Linked DNA regions of Macaca mulatta. The protein of the gene in region 1 purifies or fractionates together with the protein of each later gene. This does not show direct contact. Links are inferred from orthologs where the notes say so. Each region holds a gene or a part of one and is shown on either strand. Other genes may lie near its edges.

Region 1 (3,821 bases):
AAATCATCTGAAAAACATCAAAAAAAAAGATTTTGCAGTCTAAGAGAGTACAAAAGGTATTAATACAACCAACTCTCATGAATCCACATTTAAGCAGATACAGATGGATAGGTAGGACAAAAATCTTACATTCTTCAAAAAGATACATAATTTTGTAGTATTTTAATATTATAGTAAATCACAGAAATTCAAGTAAAAGAATAAAATTACAGTGCTCAAGAAGAGAGTATTTTTTGGCTTTTTTTTTTTTTTTTTTTTTTTTGGAAACAGGGTCTTGCTTTGTCGCCCAGGCTGGAGTACAGTAGCACACGATCATAGCTCATTACAGCCCTGACCTCTTTGGCTCTGGTGATACTCCTGCGTTAGCCTCCTGAGCAGCTGGGACCACAGGCATGCACCACCACACCGGGCTTTTTTCTTTCTTTTTTTTTTTTTGTAGAGATGGGGTTTCCCTATGTTGCTCAAGCTGGTATCAAACTCCTGGACTCAAGTGATTCTCCCATCTCGGCCTCCCAAAGTGCTGGGATTACAGGCATGAGCCACTGTGCCCGGCCAGTTTAGAAAACGACCTCAAACACACACACTACATACTACCTCAACTGCAATTCTAAAATCAGATCTAACTTAAAGTCCTCACTGTCCCTTGGTTAGGAAGTTTAAAAAAAAAAAAAAAAAAAAAAAAAAAGCACCAGTGTTGCCCGCCTTTAACTGATTAACAGGTTTTAAGGGAAAAAGGTCTCTCTGGGCACTTACTTGAAGCTAATTTAGGATACAAATTTCAAACCACCTTCTACTCCACCTCTTGCAAAACAAAGAATGTATTTGTTTATAGGAGAAAATGGAGCTAAAAGCAAAGGTAATAGCAGCTTGCCCATTACTAATTTTATTTGGGCTCACTAAATGCTGACTTCTACTCTGCCCAATTTAAGTGTTTCTGTGTTCAATCTCTTAATAACAGAAAATATCTTAAACAAATACAATACCCCAGGAAATTAATACATTACAAATTATGAAGGAAAATTAAATTTGGTTTTATTAGTCACTGTGAATAGGAATGCAAGCAATTATGAATTTTTTCAAAACTGTAATAGAATTCATATATTTAAGTTGAAAGAATAAGTACATTTTTTATTTTAAACCTTAATTTAGTGTTTTATGAACTTCTGATGACCCAGAATCACTGCCGGTCAATTTAAGAGCAGGTAGAAAGCAAGCACATACTTAGGCCTCCTTTTACTATGTAATTGTGTTGCTGTTTTCTTTTCCTCTGGACTTTTTGAGAGATCATCTCCTCCTGGTAGCTCAGGGGGCAGCGGTAAATCAGCAAGAAGACATCGGAGTTTCTTTTCTACTTCTTTTTTAACTGCTTTTACTGAAATATTTCCTCGTAAGCTAAAAGTGAAAGAAGTCAGACAAATAAAAATTTTGTTAAGTAATAAAAATGTGCTTATGTCTTACATTTAAGCAGCAATAGTCATGAATATTCAACAATATTTCACATTATAAGACTATTGTCTGAGTTTCTTTCTAGCTAAAGTAATACACTATACTCAACTGTAAAATGCAAAATTTGGGGTAAAAATGATACAGAATTAGGTAAAAACTAAGGAAATCTGTATAAGGTAGGAACTTTGTATCAATATTGATTCATTGTTAACTAATGTACCACAATGATGTAAGATATTAACAGTAAGGAAACTGGGTACAGGGTATTCAGGGTCCCTGTAGTATCTTCATAATTTTTCTATAAATATAAGACTGTTATAAAAATAAAGTTTATTTTTTAAAACAATACAGAATTAACTATAAAACTGTACATTAAAATTGAAAATCAACTAAACATGCTTTGCATAAGAACTCAGTTTTGCAAAGCATTTTTTTTTTTTTTTTTTTGAGATGGAGTCTCACTGTCGCCCAGGCTGGAGTGCAGTGGCAGGATCTTGGCTCACTGCAACCTCCACCTCCTGGGTTCAAGCGATTTTCTTGTCTCAGCCTCCCAAATAGCTGGGATTACAGGTGCCTGCCACCACACCCGGCTAATTTTTGTATTTTTAGTAGAGACGGGGTTTCACCATGTTGGCCAGGCTGGTCTTGAACTCCCGACCTCAAGTGATCTGCCCGCCTTGGCCTCACAACACCCAGCTGCAAAGCACTTACTTTGATTCTGGTAGAGACACAAAAGATGTTTTACTGTAATAAATAAATGAAAGCACATGATAGTATTTATCTTGCCCATTTAAATATCCACAGCTAATTCAGCTTTGACCCTTTTCAGGGTTAATTAATTTTTCTAAATTGGACAATGATTCTTCTAATTTTTTTAAGATTCCAGCCTACTAGAATTACAGTTGAAATTTAAACTCCATTAGCTTTGTACTTTTTATGAATGCATAAAGAGCTCTGAGTTTTAAAGTATATCTTAACTTGGCAATTTATTTTAAATTTCCCTGATATGACAAAGTACGTCATCTAATATAATGTGACATGTTGAAAGAGAATCTCATAATGATAATAAAATTTGGACTTCACATACTGTCATAGCAGTTGAGTCCCATAGTGAAAAAATTTATTCCAACTACACTGCTGTGATCAGAAATTACTGAAGATATTATTATCAATGTAAATAATTTAATTGTAATTATTCTCCTATTCATGTTGAATAATAATACTGTAAAACAAATGAATCCTTTAATACCACTTGATAAAAACTTAATAATACCATCTGATAAAAACGACCTAATAATCATAGTAAATGTATGTCCTGTGTTACTCACTGAAAGGTTCTTTAACAGAGAAAAAACATGCTTTAAAAGAAACTGGTTTGTAGTTTTGTTTTGTTTCTTTAAGACGGAGTCTTGCTCTGTTGCCCAGGCTGGAATGCAGTGGCACAATCTCAGCTCACTGCAACCTCCGCCTCCCGAGTTCAAGCAATTCTCCTGCCTCAGCCTTCTAAGTAGCTGGGACTACAGGCACGCATCACCATGCCCGGCTAATTTTTTTGTATTTCTAGTAGAGATAGGGTTTCACCATGTTGGCCAGGCTGGTCTTGTACTCCCGACCTCAGGTGATCCAAAAGAACTGCCTTGGCCTCCCAGAGAGCTGGGATTATAGGCGTGAGCCATCATGTCAGGCCTGTAGTTTTAATTTTAAAATAATGTATCACACAGCCCACTTCTCAATTTTCCTCTCCCTCCATTCAGCAAATATTGATTATGAGCTTCCATGTGCTAGGTATTTTGTAAGGCACTGGAAATTTAACAACAAACACATTAAGCTACAGTTTCTTTCAAAAAAGAGCTTACAGTCTGGAAGACAGGAAGTAGGATAAAGTGTTATACAAACAGATTCCTAGAGTAATGTAGTAGCTAAAGGGTAGCTAAATCAAGTCTGAAATACAGTAAAGGCTTCTTTCTAGAAAAGGTATCACCCGAACGCCAACTGAAAATAGGCCTATTTAGAATAACTTATTTGAAAACCATAGTCTCTAACTTGTAATGAGGCTTTAGTCAAGAGTTATCTGAAGATTCAATCAACATTTCTGAAAGCAAAAAAATAAAGTTTTAATTTCAGTTATAATTTAAAACTTAAAAAACTATCTATATTAAATGTTATTATATTAACTATCAAATATTACTTTCCAAGATTACATAATTTAAAACATTTTTGAGTATTTGCAATAATCAAATAGAAAATGTGCTTTTAAAAACACTTCCAGACACCACAGCAACAAAAATAAAATGCCTTAAAAAGAAATACACACATGCAACAGAAAAAAAATAAAACATCTGACTGAAGAACATAAAATTAGATCTGAACGAATG
Region 2 (3,821 bases), on another chromosome or scaffold:
ACCCCCAATTCAATATGAACTTTACTTAAAAAAATGCTTGCGGCTGCTCGTGAAGCATTTAAGGAGCACCTCCTCGCCAAGTACAGTTCCCCTGGTCCAAGCCTGGGGCTGTGCCTTCACTGAGGAGACGGATGGTTCACCTGGGGATCCCGGGGCGGCCAGAGAGGTGCTGCTGCCTCCAGGGCACTGAGTAGCTGCTGTGGAGGCCTCAGAGCTCTGCTCCCTCCCACATTACAGACAGCCAGGAGTAGGCCTGGGACTTGAGTGGGACCTGGGAACCAGATACACTGCCAGGAGGCCATGGCTGGAAAGAGCAGGGCCTGGGAGGCACAGTAAAGCTGGGCCACGAGGAACGGAGGGAAGCACGCTTCCTGGGAGGCCCTAGACCATGGGAAGAGGTGTTCAGGTCAGCAGTGATGTTTAGGGAGGGGTTTGGTGGCAGTGTATGGCACTTGGTCAGGAGCAAGTGTACAGAGGGAATGGGGTGCCGAGGATAGACCCCCACTTGCTGTTCGAGCTCAGTCACACAGCACAAGGGCGGGTGCACTGGTGACTTGAAGATTCAGGCTGCAGGGTCGAGTGTTGGAAGAGTTGGCTTCTGCAAGGTAGAGGAGCAGGCCTGTGGCCCAGGTGGCTGTGGAATGACACACAGGAGGCATTGAAGGGTGTCAGCGCTTTTCTGCACCTCTTTTTTAGTCAGCTTCTGGAACCACAGGGCATCTGGCCCTGACCTGGAGCCAAAGCCAGTTCTCTAAGGCCAGGCATATATGGCCTTCCTGCCCAGTGGCTGGCGAGGGCTGATCTGCACAGGCAGTCCCCAATGGCACACCTGTTACCAGCCCAATCAATCCTGCTCATGCTCGCTTTGGCAAGATCAAACGGGTTGTGTGCCAATGGCCACGTCTACACAACCAGGATGTCATGCTCTGCCTTCCCTAACCCAAGTGCCTGGGGAACCAGAAGCATCTTCATGGCCTTTGTCCTCTTTATGTTCTCTGGAACCAGAAATGTTGTGCCTATGGTTTGTCTCCTGTGCTGCCTTGGGAAAGGACACTCATTCTGTGTGTTTGGCTACTTGTGGTGGGGTGTTCCGACGCCATTTTCCAGGGGTCTGATGGTGACCAAGAGATCACAGGCCAAAATGTGTTAAATAAGGCTTTGGCGGAAGGGGGCATGAGGGCTCATGGGCTGGGAGGCGCTGCGGGAGGGGCCTGAGGCTGGTTCTGAGCACAAGTATCTTGGGTGTGCTTGACACCTAGTGCTGCCTATCCCTGCTGCATACACACAGCAGCACGCACACACACAGCAGCACGCACGCACACAGCAGCACGCACACACACAGCAGCACGCACACACACAGCAGCACGCACACACACAGCAGCACGCACACACACAGCAGCACGCACACACACGAAGCATGCACACACACGCAGCACGTAGCACGCAGCACGCACGCGCAGCACGCTTGCACACACTCCTCTCAAGGAGGCTGCTATCTGAGAGTACGCAGTGGGGTTTGATCTAACCCCTCTTGAGTAGAATAGAACCTGAATTGCTGCTTCGATGGGTACATTGGGAATGTCAGAGACTTGTACGGAATTATTTTAAATGCCATCACATTCATTTGACCAACTCTGAGGCTTTCTGCAAAATGCCACTGCTGCAGACAGGAGTTCAGTGTGGCCCTGACTCTTGGGGTCAGTTTCTGAAGGCAGAAAAACAGAGGAGCCCCCACACATTTTACACTAGGAAGAGGGGGCTGGGGCCAGGGCACAAGGGGGCTTCGTGTGCTGCCGAGACTGCCTGCGGGTGGTGTGGTTAGGGCTGAGGGAGGGAAACCCCAGCTCATCACAGACAGGGTGGAGGGCCTTTTTGACAAATGGTGGGGAGACATCTGGTGGCATCAGGACATGGGGAACGGGCCCATGTGTTGGGCCACAGAGGAAGGGGCAGCTGCTCCCTGCTCCTCTGTAAAGATGGCCCTGAAGGGCCAGGAGGCACTGAAAAAGCAGCTATTGCTTGCAGAGGCCGGGCACCAACACATCTCTCTCCTGCAGACCGGAAGCCTCCCCTCGCTGCTGCCTTAGGTGAGGCTGAGCCGCCGGGCCCTGTGGATGCCACTGACCTCCCCAAAGTCCAGATTCCTCCTCCGGCTCACCCGGCCCCTGTGCACCAGCCACCGCCGCTGCCACACCGGCCCCCGCCCCCGCCGCCCTCCAGCTACATGACTGGGATGTCCACCACCAGCTCCTACATGTCTGGAGAGGGCTACCAGAGCCTGCAGTCCATGATGAAGACCGAGGGACCCTCCTACGGCGCCCTGCCCCCCGCATACGGCCCACCTGCACACCTGCCCTACCACCCCCATGTCTACCCACCCAATCCGCCCCCACCACCTGTGCCTCCTCCCCCAGCCTCCTTCCCCCCACCTGCCATCCCGCCCCCTACTCCTGGCTACCCTCCACCCCCACCCACCTACAACCCCAACTTCCCACCCCCACCTCCACGCCTGCCCCCTACCCATGCAGTCCCCCCTCATCCTCCTCCAGGCTTGGGCCTGCCTCCAGCCAGCTACCCACCTCCTGCCGTGCCCCCTGGAGGACAGCCCCCTGTGCCCCCGCCCATTCCCCCACCTGGCATGCCTCCAGTTGGGGGACTGGGGCGGGCAGCCTGGATGAGATAACGTGAGCCTTTTTTTCCCCCTTTGTTTTTTTTAACAAGTTTTTCTAATCGACTTGCAGAGTAGTTGAAGTGGGTAAGCAGCAGGGTACCTTATATAATGCGCGACAGTTGCAGTATGGGAAGAATGGACCAGGCCCCTGGGATAAAATCAGGGTGGTCCTCACATCTAGAGGACGGGGACAGCCAGCTTTCAGAGTAGCCTCATCAGCGCCCTTGCAGTCTGACTGTGTACACTTGGTTCAGCTAATGTCTGAGAGTCCTGCACTGGGTTACTTTATACTAGTGAAGATGTTAACCAGCCATATTGGCTCAATAAATAGCTTCGGTAAGGAGTTAATTTCCTTCTAGAAATCAGTGCCTACTTTTCCTGGAAACTCATTTTAAATAGTCAAATTCCATCTGAAGTCAAGCTGTTGTCATTTTCATTCAATGACGTTCTCTCCCATGACACCCAGAAGGGTCAGAAGAACCACATTTTTGATTTATAGATGTTTGCATCCTTTGTATTAAAATCATTTTGAAGGGGTTGCCTCGTTGGATGGCTTTTTTTCCTCCAAGGAGAAGGGGAGAAATGTACTTGGAAAGTAATGTATGTTTACATCTATTTGCAAATTCCTGTACATAGAGATACATTTTTTAAGTGTGAATGTAACAACATACTGTGAATTCCATCTTGGTTACAAATGAGACTCCTTCAGTCAGTTATCCAAATAAAAGCAGTTCTGAAACTATCCCTTTCTCTGTTAATGGGTGGAAGGTAGGGCTCCAGGCCTTCGCAGTCCCCGGGTGATAACATTGTACAAGCCCCTCCTTCCGGACCCTGGGCACCGGGAGAGGCCTGGCTGCAGTTCACAGGAGCCAGAGCCAACCCCACTGCCTCCCAGGGCACTCTGGGTGGATCGGCACATTGGCCTGCCAAGCCAGCCTGCACCCATCCTGTGCCTGCCTTGGTTTCCTTTGGAGGACCTGGTTGAGTTCCAAACCAGCTTGAAACTTTCAAGCCTTGCTGCATAGAACACAGACGGGAACACAGGCTTGGGTTTGAAACCCTTTCCACTTCTGGCCTGCGATGAGACGGAGGCAGCTGGAGGAGCAGCGGCCTCGCCATCCACCTTGAGGGGCCAGGGCTGTGTCTGTGG

What was found.
Region 2: the proteins of CDK13 (region 1) and CCNK purify together in Homo sapiens (affinity purification with mass spectrometry; 4 studies listed by BioGRID and IntAct, counting the BioPlex papers as one, with this or other methods). This does not show direct contact. The link is inferred for Macaca mulatta from reciprocal best matches to the Homo sapiens genes CDK13 and CCNK.

The regions. Positions count from the first base shown.
Region 1 is NC_133408.1:88,478,527-88,482,347, forward strand, and holds part of CDK13 (cyclin-dependent kinase 13), read right to left. Parts: intron 1,393-3,821; coding exon 1,222-1,392; intron 1-1,221. UniProt on the Homo sapiens protein: Cyclin-dependent kinase which displays CTD kinase activity and is required for RNA splicing.
Region 2 is NC_133412.1:172,832,304-172,836,124, forward strand, and holds the end of CCNK (cyclin-K), read left to right. Parts: intron 1-2,057; coding exon 2,058-2,683; 3' UTR 2,684-3,413; downstream 3,414-3,821. UniProt on the Homo sapiens protein: Regulatory subunit of cyclin-dependent kinases that mediates activation of target kinases.